Pelodiscus sinensis: one gene and its partner. Each later gene encodes a partner of the first gene's protein in a complex. Links are inferred from orthologs where the notes say so. Each region holds a gene or a part of one and is shown on either strand. Other genes may lie near its edges.

The links. The genes of interacting proteins can lie anywhere in the genome.
Region 2: the proteins of THOC2 (region 1) and THOC1 are in contact, whole or in part, in a cryo-EM structure (PDB 7ZNL), measured with the Homo sapiens proteins. The link is inferred for Pelodiscus sinensis from reciprocal best matches to the Homo sapiens genes THOC2 and THOC1. Residues at the interface, in NP_001075019.1 of Homo sapiens: Leu155, Phe156, Tyr157, Lys158, Gln160, Asn163, Leu164, Leu165, Arg166, Asn169, Glu170, Ala173, Lys174, Ile176, Ala177, Gly180, Gln181, Asn195, Lys197, Ser198, Leu199, Ile200, Gly201, Cys202, Phe203, Asn204, Leu205, Pro207, Asn208, Arg209; in NP_005122.2 of Homo sapiens: Asn134, Arg138, Asn141, Leu144, Arg145, Lys149, Thr153, Cys156, Gly157, Gln160, Leu161, Ala164, Arg165, Phe167, Gln242, Phe245, Arg246, Tyr297, Ala299, Lys300, Phe301, Arg319, His320, Leu323, Gln324, Ile327, Tyr331, Arg373, Phe374, Lys376.

The regions. Positions count from the first base shown.
Region 1 is NC_134723.1:32,406,301-32,413,176, reverse strand, and holds the start of THOC2 (THO complex subunit 2), read right to left. Parts: upstream 3,016-6,876; 5' UTR 2,933-3,015; coding exon 2,865-2,932; intron 1-2,864. UniProt on the Homo sapiens protein: Component of the THO subcomplex of the TREX complex which is thought to couple mRNA transcription, processing and nuclear export, and which specifically associates with spliced mRNA and not with unspliced pre-mRNA.
Region 2 is NC_134712.1:79,537,471-79,545,344, forward strand, and holds the start of THOC1 (THO complex subunit 1), read right to left. Parts: upstream 3,018-7,874; 5' UTR 2,927-3,017; coding exon 2,867-2,926; intron 1-2,866. UniProt on the Homo sapiens protein: Component of the THO subcomplex of the TREX complex which is thought to couple mRNA transcription, processing and nuclear export, and which specifically associates with spliced mRNA and not with unspliced pre-mRNA.

The DNA.
Region 1 (6,876 bases):
TTATATGATCCCAAATTATAAAATAATACTTTACTAAAGATAACTAATAACTTCGCCACTATATCATTTCAGACTCTTATCTTTTTGGATCACATAAGTTACCCTACACTAACAGCAGTTAGCGAATGTTCTTATTTGTTTTCACCTTTTTTTCTTATCAACCACAAATTGTTACCAATACATTTACTGGTTTTATTTGAGTGAAAGTTGGTATGTTGCTTCTGTTCTGGCCAGCCCCAGCATACTTAAAAACTAAACATTGGTCTAAAAATGAGCTTGCCCCCAATGAAAAAGATGGGTAAAACAAGTTTTGCTAAGAACTGTCACTTGGCTTTAGTCGCTAGAATTACAGGTGTTGTCCTTCTACAGCTCATATCCTTCCCAGAGTTTATCAACTTTATTAATTGTCCTATGTGTTTAATTTATATTGCAAACTGCTTAGATCTGGAATATCATCTTTCTAGGCCTTCTGCAAAACACTTTGCATCCTTTCTAAGCTTCTAATTCTTCATTTCTAGAACTGGTACAAAATATGTTGATGTATTTCATTTTGACATCTAAAAATGCAATCAATGGTTGCTTTTGTTTATTAACACAAAGATTTGTTAGTATTTCAGAACAAAAATTCTAGCAAAATTGTTCAGTTTCTACTTCTAGGAAAGCCAGTCTTTACGTGTGCAAAAAATCTTTTGGAATGGTTCATACGGATACAATTTTTTACTTTTAAAAGATTTAATATGTAGGTTTAGAAGATTTATAAAAATGTTTCAGCAAAAACTGACAGCTGTTATGCACACACAGAGTCACACTTCACTGGCAATTTACAGCCTCTTGTTTAAATCAGGCTGTCTGGGAATTATTCTTAAACAGGGTTTACACACTGTCCCTTCTAACCTAGTAACACTACTGGATAAGCCAAAATGAATGAACCAAAATGAATGTATACTCTTTTCTGTTTTTTAAGATTGTGGATTCAAAGACTGGATTACAATACTTTTGTGTAACATTTTAAGATACTTGGCCTTTTGTTAGAAAGTGGTTTAGCTGACCTGTGTGAATCCTACAATAGCCAAAGGCTAAGCTACACCACCCTTTCTCTGCACAAATCTTTACACAATCAACTATGAATTATCTTTCAAAATTAACTCTGTATTACCTGTCATAAGGTATTTTTCAAAATTAATCATATTGAACAGCTTCCTAACTCAGATAGAAGTAATAACCTCACACACACACACAAAAAAGGTAAGTCCTGACATACATCCTTTTTATGTCAAACCTCTACTACCATGGTGTCCAACATGCTAGCCACTAGCCAGATGTGGTTATTTGGCCAGTTGAGTGTGGCTAGTTGGCTTGAAAAATGTGCCAATTTGGCCAGTTGAGTGTGGCTAAGTCATGAGAGTGGCTACTGATTCAAAACTGGTTGGACACCATGGCTATACTATATAAAAAAATACTGTTTAGTGACCTACACTTAGTTACATATTTTAATAGATACTGAACGAATATATTTATATATTTTATTCTTCTACAAAAATGTATAGACACTGGCTAACAATCTATTTACTGACTATATCTTTCAAATTTTTTTGTGAATTCAGTTGTTAACACAGAATCCTAAACAGGGAAAGTTTAAAAATAGTTTGAACATACATTTCTTTATAAGCTCATCTATACTGCAGTTATTACTGTCAGGTGACTTACTATATAGCTGATTATTTGGTCATAATACAGTCTAGTTTTTAGTATAGATCAAAACATGTTTAAGCCACGGTTATGTCAAGCCTGTATCATGATGCAAGGGCACTGACAACAAGGCTTTCCCTCTTCCACTACCTAATGAAAAAGGTCAAGGGAAGAATGGTAATGTAGAAGGCCTCTACATTCTCCATCTACCTCACCCGTTCTTCTCATCCTGTTTCAGAGGGCTGTACAGCTATACCAAATGAAGGAAAATTAATGATGTGAATACTATGTCTCATTGAAATGCACCACAAAATAGTCTTTAACATTTAACTTTGAAGGTGTCTCTTAATAAAAAAGCAAATAAATTAAAGTTTTTAAGAACTCTTCCGATTAATCTACAATATTAAAAAGTTTTCAGCCCAAGTCATTGTTCAGTTGAGGAAATTGTGAATGTCAAATCAAACCTTCTGATCAGAGGCAATCCCAATACACAGTGGACAACATACTGCCAGAATGGCCACCTCTTAGGACTTAGGGTGATACTGACAAGATCATTCTCTGCCAAGGCCAGGAGCGCTAAATGGATTTGTGGGGAGGGCTGGGCGGAACTCTCTTGGCACACAAAGGGCCCATGACAGAAGAGTTGATGGGATGAACGATCCTCGCTCTGGGCTGGATCGGGGAAGAAGCGCGGGCGTTAAATCCTTCGGATGGAGGAATTTCGGGACTGAGGCCCTTGCAACTACGCTCAACACTGGGGCGCCTGACGCTTCGGCACAGGGGAAAGCGGGCGAACCCGACAGCCGCGGGGGCGGAGGTACGGGCGATCAAACGGGGCCAACGGTCGGGGGAGCTTGGCCCAAAGCCTGGAACGGGGCGCTTGGCGCTAGAGCACCGGGAGCCCGGACAACTAGGCCGGGGGAGGGGGGACGTGAAGGAGTCAGGCCCAAGGGAGAGCGCCAGGGTGAAAGGGCACCGAGCCGGTGGGGGACGCTCGCTCGGCCCTTTAGGGAGCGGTGCGGGGAACTCAGCCCGGAACTCTGCCCTCCACCCAGCTCCCGGCCCCTCCACCCGACCGGGCCCCAAACTCCGGCCCCTACGGACCGGCCGGCGGGCCGCCCTAGCCTCCAGCGCCGGCCCGGTCCGCTCCTCCCCCCACGCCGCCCCGCACTCACAACTCGCTCTTGCCCGATTTCTCCCAGTTCTTTATCCACTCGGCAGGGAGCGCCCCCGCCGCCGCCATCTTCCCCGTGTGGCGCCGAGAGCCCGGATGAGGCGAGCGACGGGACGGGGTCAGAGGGGACGGGCCGGCCCTCCCGCCAGGCATGATGGGAAACGGGCCTAGAGCAGCCTGGGAGACGAACGTGCGCGCGCTCTCTTGCCGAACGGCTCCCGAGCCCGCGCTGCGCGCGCGGAACCGGCCACGGGCGGCTGCTGAGTTTCGGCAGCGGCGCCCGCCCGCGGCTACACAACGCCGGGCCCAGCGAGTCCCGCGCCAGCTGCCCCCAGACACTCCGGTACCTAGCTACCCCCCTCCCCCCACACTGGTAACACTTGAGCCCCCCCAATATAGGGGTGACTCCTGACCCCCCCGCCAGTCACACCATGGCCCCCGCCCCTTCTTCCAGTACATCCGCCACCTGCCCCCCCCATACAGCTGGGCCACAAGCAACCCACCCAAAATACTTCCAGCCCTTCCTGCAGTGCACCACCCGAGCCCTTGTCATTTATCTTATAAATATATCCCCGCCCCCCCCCCCCCCCCCGCCCCGGCAAGTTTCCCAAATACACTGGACGCCCAGCAATCCCCCTACAATTAACGAGACTGCTATCATCCACTCAATGAATGCACCAGGACCTTGCAACGTTTCCCAAATACGGTGGGCCTCTGCAGTCTTCCCTCAAAAACACCAGTAACCCCTGGACCTCACCAATCTACCCCAAATACATCTGGATCCCTACAATCCACCCAATGAATACTATCAACTTCCCCAAATAACACCAGACCATCAATCGCTGCCCCCCACCCCCTCCAAAAAAAACTCTAGCAGGCTGCCCATCACAATGGTAACATCTGTTCTCCACTAACTCCCCCTCCCCTATGTCTTGGGGACACTGGGTACCCAGCAACTTTACACCAAATGTGCCACAACACCAGGCCTCCACCTATCCCATATCAATAGCTCCGGGTTTGCAGGGACATTTCCCCATGTCTCTCCCTTATAGTCTCAGCCAAAATCCATGCATATGTCTGTGACTTCACATACTTGTTAAAATAAATGTATTCTGAGATATTTAGCAAAAGGGTATCAGTAAGACTTATCTAATTCTGTAGCTCTGTTATACGAATTTATAGTAGTAATATTAATTTGTAGGTTTCAGTGATAGAGTTGCAGTCAAGGACTACAAAACTTGTTTGTGTGTAAAAAGTCATTTAATCTGTTAATTGTCATACAGATAGGTTGATAGTTATATTCTAAATCTATTGAAAAGAAAGAATGGTCCCTTCATTTCAGAAATCTTAGGGCAGGTCTACAAAATTAAGTCACCTTAAGTTACTTGCTATGCTATCAGCCCCAAGTGGCAGAACTCTAGATGTCAGTTCCGGGCAGTGAGGCTCTGATAGGCAGCAAATGGTGATGTGATGTGATGTAAGCAATGCAGTGTCTACACTGATCCTGCATTGACATAAGAGCTATGCCTCTTGCAGAGGTGGAATTACTAAGGACATATCTTCATGTTAGGCTGGATCAATAGGCAGTGATCATGTAAGCAAAGGGTCAGTTTGTCATGTCTAGATAAATTGACCACCGAGCGCTCTCCCGTTGACTCTTGATACACCACCAAAACCAGAAGAGTTAAGCGGAGTCGACAGGAGAGCATCAGCTGTCAACTTACTGCTGTGAAGATACTGCAGTAACATAAGTCGATGGTCTGCAATAGTATAGACAAGGCCTAAGTTAGTGTAGCAGGCTACTTACATCAGTGAGAATAATTTGCCTTATGCCACTCTAACTGTAGTGTAGACTAAGCCTTAGTTTCACAGTTCAAACTTCAACATTTGAAGAATACAGGGTCTTTTTTTTCTTTTAAAGTATATTCAGAGTCTTTGGTCTCTGATGGGCTTGAGCCATTATCTCAGAGGAAATTCCTAAACTATTACCAGTGGAGTACTTGCTGGAGGCTCTCTTTAGCTACATCTAAACTACAAGCCTCTTTCAAAAGAGGCTTTTTCGAAAGAATCTTTCAAAAAAGCCTCTTTCAAAAGACAGCGTCTAGACAACAAGCAGATTTTTTGAAAAAGGGAGCCGCTTTTTTGAAAGAGTCTAGATGCTCTCTTTCGAAAAAGAACAGTTTGCATTCAATAGCGCCTTTTTTAGAAACGGTACTTTCGAAAAAAGGCATTATTTCTCATAAAATGAGGTTTACCACGATTGAAAAAACTGCTGGTTTTTTTCGATTTACTTTCAAAAGAACGCGGCTGCAGTCTAGATGCAGGTGAATTTTTTTTTGAAAAAAGGCTACTTTTTTTGTGTCCCTCTGAGGAACAGAATAGATTTAAGGGAGCAATGAATGAAGAGAAAAATAGGTGGTATTTTTACCTTTTTTTCAAAAAGGCCAAAACATTTATATAAAATAATTAAAAATATATCATCATTGTGCTAATATTGGCCTTCCATGTAAACAAGGTGCAGTGAGCCCCAATTTACCAGTTTTATCTTGAGCCACCATTCCTACAGACAATGCAGCACTTGTTAGCACTTAAAATAAAGCTAAGTAAGGTTTATTAAAGTAAAAATAAAGATGTAATAAGAAATAGTGGTTACATCACAAAACAAAATCATAGAAAACAAACCAGAGTCTATACTTATGGAATATAGATTGCACCTCTAAAATCCAGGATACTCTGGTCTAGCAACATCCATGTTCTGGCAGGATCACAGATATTGCTGGACCAGGGAGCCTGGTTGGCTAGAAGCAGCACGGCCAGCAGTGGGGAAGTTGAGCTCTGGCGGGGGATGGAAGCAGAATCCCCGGTGGCCAAGACGGGCTGACAGCCAAGAAAGGAGCCTTGACCTGCCCTGGTCTCGCAAACTCCAGGGTTTGGGACCCCTCAGGACCAGAGGGTGTCAGAACAGGCAGGTCCAACCTGTAGTAAAGTAAATTTCCCACCAAATTCAGCCATTGCAGAGCTGGATGCTTTTTCAATAAAGAGGACCCAAAATGTTCATAAAATCATAAAAATGTAGAGTTGGAAGGTACCTTAAGAACTCATCTAGTTCAGCCTGCCTCACTGAGTAGGACTATGCACTCCTAAACCGTCCTTGATAGATGTTTATCCAATCTGTTTTTTTAAAAATTCAGTGATGGCACTTCCACAGCATCTCTTACAAGCCTAATCCAGATCTTAACTAGAATCATAGAATACTAGAACTGGAAGGGACCTTGAGAGGTCATCGAGTCCAGTCCCCTGCCCTCACAGCAGGATCAAGCACTGCTTAGAAGATCATTCCTAATAGATGTCTACCTAACCTGCTCTTAAATATCTCTAGAAATGGAAATTCCACAACTTCCCTAGGCAATTTATTCCACTGTTTAACTACTCTGACAGGAAGTTTTTCCTAATGTCCAACCTAGATGTATGTCCCTTGCTGCAGTTTAAGCCCATTGCTTCTTGTTCTGTGATCAGAGGCCAGGAAAAACAATTTTTCTCCCTCCGTGTGACACCCTTTTAGATCCTTGAAAACCACTATCTTGTCCTCTCTCAATCTCCTCTTTTCTAAACTAAACAAGCTCAATTCCTTCAGCCTTGCCTCATAGCTCATGTTTTCTAGCCCTTTTATAATTTTTGTACCTCATCTCGGGACCTCCAATTTCTTCCCATCTTTCTTGAAATGTGGTGCCCAGAACTGGACACAGTACTCCAGCTGAGGCCTAATCAGTGCAGAGTTAGTCACCAGATAGGTGATAATACGTCTTGGAGATGATCCATTCAAATCGGAGGCAGTTGTCCTGCCGTGGATAGCCAGTGAAGTAAAATAATTAGTTGTCTAGCCTTGCTCCATCACCACTTTAAGTGAAAAACTATCAGAGACAAATGCAGTTAATCAAAAACAATTAGGTGTAAAAAAGATACATTATAACAAAGAGAAAAAGCCGGTTATGAATAAGGAAAAAAGACAATTT
Region 2 (7,874 bases), on another chromosome or scaffold:
GATGAGACCCCAAGTCAAAGATTTCCTCATCCATCCCTGAGGCTCTGGTAGAAAAACATGTCTCCTCCTCCAGTGCCCTTCCTACATGAAGATGAACCTGGTTTCTTGATTTTCCTTGCTACAAGAGCTATGTGAGCTTCAGCTCTAGAATTAGGGCTCCTATGCACCACGATAATTGAAATACTTATTAGTATTAATTATTTTTGTAAGAATGGAAGGAAGAATGGTTAAGGCTCTGTGCCGGAATAAGGAAGAACCAGTTTACATGTTTCACACCATCCAACCACCTCTGTGGCTCCAATTGGTGGACCAGGTGCAGATGCCTTTTATTCCTCTTGTACATTGGATCTGTCTGACTGCATAGTAATCTTCCTTCAAGTTTGTCCCTGGGGAAGATGCTAAGTTTGTTTTGAAACGATACCTAAGCAGCCAAGTCTATTGCTTTCTCCAGAACACACGAAAGTGAAAGAGTTGAGGCTGGCCTACACCAAAGCCAGGGAGTGGAGCTCCCGTTCAGGGGCAGCACCCCAATCATATCCCTATACAAGCCCCTCCACCACATCCTAGGAGGGGAGTCGGTCCCTTTCCCCACTTGCCTAAGGACACCTTCCTGGAGCTCTCCCGAGGAAACTCCACTCCAGTGCTTCACCACCCTCCTGGGACAACGGCAAGAGAATCGTATCTGCCTGAGTATGGCCCCAACTGTTGATCTCCCCACGCAAAACTGGTTCCCGGCAGAGCAGTAACTGTCTGGTGTGGTGAGCTTCCAAAGTGTGATGGTGACCCACTTCTGGAAGGGGATGGCGGGTTCCATGTGCGTATCCCTTGCAGAGCTCCAGGAAGGTGTCCTTAAGCACATGGAAGTTCTACAGCCACTACTGGTCATCCCGTTGCTCCATGACAATCTGGCCCCACCAGCTGGAACCTGTTGCTAGTCGCCAGAAGTGGCAGTGCCTGGTGTGCAGGGTAGGGTGGGAGAGATCATGCTGCATGAGCAGTACGGAGAAAGAGGTGAGGAGGTGCCCTACAGGGAACAGTGTGTCCTGTTCCTGCAGTGCCATGTGGGCAGCATGCAATAACTGCACCAGGAGGCGTGGTAGCAGATCTAAGAGATGGCGATTACTTTCTAGCACATCTAGCTCCATGCCCTCAAGAGCAACCAGAGCAAGAAGTGAGATGAGTTTGCTGTCCTTCAAGGCAAAGGTGAAGAGCCTGAGACATGGCTGTAGAAGGTAGCCCTTTTAAGCATAAGCCTCAGATAGCCTCAGGCAGCAGCTACAGGAAATGACTGCTGTCCTGATGCTCTGCCCTGATGCTTCCAGGGGGCCTTAAGAGCTATTCAGGCTTCACTCAGTGTGGACACACTATTTTGATATATTTCTGCACTATTTTGATGGGCTTTTGTAGTGTGGAACATAGTATTTGAAATAGCTATTCTGGGAGTTATGATGCCAAAATAGCTTATTTGTACCGTCATAGTTCCAGTGTAGAGGTTGCACATGAAATCACCGGGAATGAATTGTGTAAGTTCAGAAATATCTCTAGTGCTATAGTGATTGAAAGGAAAGTTCTGTCTCCCTGATTTCTCTCATCATTTACATGATCCAAATCTAAATGCGTCATATTCACCACTAAACTAAATTAAAAGCTTGTGTGTGTGTTGTGTGTATCCTTTTTTTAATTAGATTTCTTTTTTTTTTGCCTCCTTTGGTTTTGTTGAATGTTACTTTGAAGTGAAATGTGGCTCTAATGCCTTGTGCCTCAAATTTTGCAATTTGCTGCATGAGCAGTATGGGGAAAGAGGTGATGAGGTGTTTCTGCAGTGCCATGTGGGCAGCATGCAATAACTGCACCAGGAGGTGTGGTAGCAGATCTAAGCGATTCATATTACAATCCATGAAGTTACGGCCCATGAAGTTAACAACTACTGTTTTGGTTTTGAGGGAGTTGGCAGGTATATAATAAAGTATTCATATGGACACGCTTAAGTGCTTTGTTGTGTGGAAACTCCATACTTTGCAAAAGTAATACAATGCATTTATGGCAGAGCAAGGAAGATTTCCTTCATATAAAATGAGCCAGGAAGACCAATGATCTTGATCTGTGACAGATTGCTGCACACAAAAAGCTTCTTTTTGTTGGGGAGAACAAAAAATGGAGCCCCATGCCATTTGTACTAATGAAAGAGGAGACCTAAGAAATCAGTCTGGAATGTTTGAAGTATGGGGGTTGGATGCCCTCTTTGCAAGTCCTGCATCACCTGACAGTTCAACTTACAAAACAACAGTCACAATGTTACTAGCTTCCCAAAAGTAAACAGTACTTACCATTGGGTCCTACATTAGCAGGTGGGGCACTGCTGACTCCCTAAAGTGCCCACAAGTCCGTGGGACATGCCTCGGCTGAGTGAGTTTGTGAGGCCCCGCCCGGGGTCAGGGCAGGCGGACAGACATGGGGTTAATACAAATAGTCATCAGTTCACAGTTTAAGGTGCCTTGGGTCAGGGCGACAAGTGTCTATTAAAGCTCTGTCTGGGTCCCAGCCGGACAGGGGTCGGGTCTCCTCGCTCTGCGAGAGCCGACAAGCACAAGGGTTTTGGCCCCACAGGGGGAACCTGCCACTCAGGGGAAAGGGTTGCAGGGGGGACGCAGGCCCTCCCTACTCCACCGCATCCCGCACCAGGGCCCTAACAGTGCCAAGGCAGCAGCCACTGGACCGGCAGAGCTCCAGGCCATAGCGCGCCGTCCAGGTCAATGGGAGTCCAAGCCACAGCGCCCTGCCCACCTGACCTCCACTTCTTCAGCCTTCCCAGGATCGGCTGTCCCTGAGTCACTTTCCAACCCCCCTCCTCCCTCCATGGGCCTACCCAATTCTGGCGACAGTCCGGTGGATACTCGGGCAACAGCGGGGTTGGCAGGGTGTCCATGGGCTCCGGTTCAGGCAGGACTCCAGGTGGGCCAGCACAGTTGTTGGTAGCCAGCAAGCGTGCTATCAGGATCAGCGTGCATTCAGGCAGCAGCCAGTGTCCCAGGCCAGAGCTCTGAGGTTGGCAGGGGTCCACGCAGCCCAACCCAGTTCTTGGACCAGGGGCAGTGCGGCCGAGGCCTACGCTGTGGGAGTTACGGCCAGGTGTTGGCTTGGCTTAGTTACCTGGCTCCGACTGAACCTGTGGCTCTTATAGCCCCAGACCCGCCCTCTGACCTCCTGTGGGCGGGGCTAGGTGTGGCTGGACCCGCCCACCAAGGGGTCATAGAGGGCACTTCCTCTTCCGGGTCAGCAGGCAGCCATGTTGCTGTCCCAGACTCATTACAGTCCCATAACACCACCATAAAATGATGACTATTTCATGCAAAGCATCACATCATATAAAAAGTCTGAAGCCAGTTGTTCTGTTCAAATGCTTATCAATAGTGTGCATGAAGTTATGAGATTTTGCCAAATGGTTGTTACTGAAATATGCTGTAATTTTGAGAGTCTTTAATGCTAGGTGATGAACCACTTCCAGGATGGTATTAAACATTCATTAATCAATAGGGGAGTTCTAATCAAAGGGTATACAATTCAATAACAATTGTGCAAGCACCAAACAATGGAGACTGTCCAATTCTAGGATGCAGTTGCACAAGATCACATCAGTGGTATTGCTTAGCCTTGTGACTCAGGAAAGTCCATCAGGACATGTCTTCATCGGAGCAAGTGTCTCATAGGTACGTGGACTAAGGATACAAGATAGACAAAAGCCTGGTGCCACTGTTCCCTTTCTCTTCCCCCACATATGCTGGAAGGAGGAACAAGAATGCTTGGAAGACAAAGACTTCAACTGAGGAGACTGGACCAGGGAGAAGCCTGTGTATTAAGAACTGTAATATCTAGGGGGTGAGAATACTGCTTGACCTAAATACTGCATAATATAATAAGGTTTAAGAGTTAGATTGTGTGCTTAGCTTCTATTTTCTTTGGTAACTATCTCTGATCATTTATGTCTACCACTTAAAGGGTGCCTCTACACTGTGCCTGTAGCTTGAAATAAGATACGCAATTTGAGCTACGCAAATTGCATATTTTATTTTAATCATATTTTGAAATAGCTAATTTCAAAATTTGGCACTGTCTACACAGCACCTATTTCAAAATAAATTGCTATTCTGAAAAGTCCCTTACCCCTCTAATGCTCATTAGAGGGATGTCAGAATAGCGAGCCCATTATATTTCGAAATAACGGGTGTGCTCAAAAGACGCAGAATAGCTATTTCGGGATACCTCCAGTATCCCGAAATAGTGCTGCAGTGCAGATGTAGCCTACAGAATCTCTCTCTCTCTCTCTATTTAATAAATCTGTTTGATATTTTACCCAGAACAGTGTTTTCCTTGAAGTGCTTGGGAAATCTCAGCTCAGGTTAGAAAGGCTAGAGTGTGTCCTCTCCACATTGAAGGATGGGTGGACTGTGTAAGAAATATACACTGGTCAGGCTTCTGACCAGGAAAAGATGGTGCACCTTTTGGGCAAAAGTCCAGGGAGGTGAGAGGAATTGGCTGGCTCCTTTCTCTTTAAGATTTGTGAGTGGATCTGGGAGCTGAATGATAAATAGCAAACCCTGCCAAGCACAGCTGTCACTTGCAAAGCATTGCGAGATAGCGCCCAGGCTGGAGAGTTAAAGATGCTCAGTGTTACCCCAGTTCCAGGTTGTACCCTGCCAATTCAGTCATAACTATCTGCCTCTGGACATAGTGACATTCTGTAACATCCTTTCAGACGTGACAATGCTCTGTCATTGGATAAGTATATTGTTCCATGTTTTAGTCGGAGTTGTTTTGTGGTAAGTTTGCAGAAAACGAGAGAAATTATGTTGCACAAGTCTACAGGAGGAAAAGGTTTCCAGAGGATGTGGTAATTTTATGTTTGTTGCAGCAAACAGACTTGTGTGTAATTTCAGAAACAGGTAGAGCTGCATACTGTGGGTGTCACTTTGAAATGGGAATGCAGAATCCCAACTCCCTGGAACATCTCTTTCAGATCAGTTTGTGTCTAAACTTTGCAATTCAGGCTCACTCAATAACATTGACTAATGAATATTTCCTAAAGTGGGGAAGGAGAGGGACCTTCCCCCTGCTAAATTTTCTCCAGCCCGTGGCAAGTCTGCGCACCATGGGCTGGAATCCCTGACTCTCAGCTCCCTCCCAGTCATGGGGCTAGAATCACAAGCACTGGCTATCCCCATTGTGGGGGAAGATATGGTGCCAGACTGGTCAGCTGCACCTGCAGCCCTGTATGTGCAGGGGTCATCAATTAGAGTCCATGTGCACCTGCCCCCATCAATGGGTCAGGAGAACTGAGGGAGCTGCATCTGTAGGCATGGCTACAAAGACTAGGCTAATGGACCTTTCTTGCCCATGTAGTTGCTATATGCAATGAATCATGTCCCATCAGCTTGAATTCTGGAAGAATGAAATAAAGATATTTGACGTGAAATTCTTCATCTGCTGTTGAAGGGTATGTCTACACTACAGCGCTAATTCGAACTTAATTCAAATTAGTTAATTCGAACTAAGCTAATTCGAACTAGTGCATCTAGACCTAAAAACTAGTTCAAATTAGCGTTTTGCTAATTCGAACTAGCATGTCCACATTGAGTGGACCCTGAACCGGGGTTAAGGATGGCCAGAAGCAGTGCCGGCAGGGCATCAGATGAGGACTTAGAGCGTGGAGCTGCTGTCTCAGGCTAGCCGAGGGCTGTGCTTAAAAGGACCCGACCCCCACCCCGGACAGACAGTTCTCAGGGGTTCCCTGTTCACTTGTCTAACTTGATGAGGGACAGCAAAGCAGTCCTGGCTTCAAGTGCCCACACTCGGCCATCAGCCCGGCTGCACTCGCCATAGGCTGCCATCCGGGGACGGGGGTTAATCGGGGGGCTGCAGGAGAGCTTCCACCCCGAGGAGCCCGCAGAGCCAGCCCAGTCCTCCCCATCGGGGGCTCGTACCCCAGTCCTCCCTCACCTCCTTCCACTTACCCCTCCCTAGCCCCCCTTCCTGATGTACAAAATAAAGGACATGTGTGTTCAAAAATAGAAACTCTCTTTATTGAGCAAAACTTGGGGAGACTGGGAAAAGGAGGTGGGAGAGGGGAAGAGAGAGGGTGGGAGAGGGGAGGGCAACTAAAATGATCAGGGGTTTGGAACAGGTCCCATATGAAGAGAGGCTAAAGAGACTGGGACTTCTCAGCTTAGAAAAGAGGAGACTGAGGTGGGATATGATAGAGGTCTATAAAAGCATGAGTGGTGTGGAAAGGGTGCATAAAGAAATGTTCTTCATTAGTTCCCATAATAGGAGGACTAGAGGACACCAAATGAAATGAATGGGTAGCAGGCTTCAAACTAATAACAGAAAGTTCTTCTTCACAAACCAAATAGTCAACTTGTGGAACTCCTTGCTGCAGGAGGCTGTGAAGGCTAGAACTAGAACAGAGTTTAAAGAGAAGTGAGATAAAGTCATGGAGGTTGGGTCCATGGAGTGCTATTAGCCAGGGGGTAGAAATGGTGTCCCTGGCCTCTGTTTGTGGAAGGCTGGAGATGGATGGCACGAGACAAATGGCTTGGTCATTGTCTTCGGTCCATTCCCTCCAGGGTACCTAGTGTTGGCCGCTGTTGGCAGACTACTGGGCTAGATGGACCTTTGGTCTGACCCAGTACGGCCATTCTAAGCTCAGGGCTCAGGGTCGGGGGTCTCACTGGACCACCTTGATTTTCATACATACTTGCTCCTGGGTGGCCAGGCTGGCAGCTATCCTGCCCTAGACGGCCACTTTCCTGTGCCTAGTGCGGAGGTCGTGGATGAGGTCCACGATGTCTGCACTAGACCAGGCGGGCGCCCGCCTCTTGCAGACCTGGGCAGGCTCCCGAGAGCTGCCAGCCTGGTCCCGGGAAGAGGCAGAGGGCTGGGTGGCAGCGGGTGGCTGGCTCGAGCTGTGCCAGGTGCAGGGTCTGCTGGCTGGGTGCTGGCAGGCTTGCACCTGGCACGGGCACCGTAGCCAGCCCATGCCCCTTTAAGGACTCTGGGGCCGGGAGGGGGGCAGAAGAGTTTCCCTGGTGGTGCCCAGTGGCCACCAGGGAAAGCTGGGGAGGGCTAGCCTCCCACTAGTTCGAATGAAATAGCTACACAGCCCTTAATTCAAACTACTTAATTCGAACTAGGCGTTAGTCCTCGTGGAATGAGGTTTACCTAGTTCGAATTAAGTGCTCCGCTAGTTCGAATTAAGTTCGAACTAGCGGTTTGCTAGTGTAGCACCTATCAAAGTTAATTCAAACTAACGTCTGTTAGTTTGAATTAACTTTGTAGTGTAGACATACCCGTATAGACTCAGCGCTGGAACTAGGAAACAAAAGCAGAGTCTCCCAGGATCAACTTGGCTAACCCCTAAGAAAAGACATTTAGAGCTGATTGTATTTTTCCCTAATTAATAAATCCTTAGTTAGTTTAGGATTGGCTACAAGCATTGTCTTTGGTGAGCTCAAAGGTACAAATTGACCTGGGGTAAGTGACTGCTCTCTTGGGATTGGAAGCAATGGAAATATTTTCTGATATGTGGTGTGTACTTGACCATTTATCACCAAGCTCAGATTGCCCAGGTAGCTAAATAGACAGGAGTGCCTAAAAGGATTGTCTGTGACTGGAAAAACAATGAATAGTCTAGCAATGCCTTAAAGACTAAGAAAATATGTAGATGGTATTGCGAGCTTTTGAAGGCACAATCCACTCCTTTGATGAAGTAGATTATGCCCTTGAAACTCATGATACCATCTGCATGTTTTCTTGGTCTTTAAGGTGCTGCTAGTCTGTAACTGGAAAAACTTAAAAAAAAAAAGTCTAACTCAGGTACC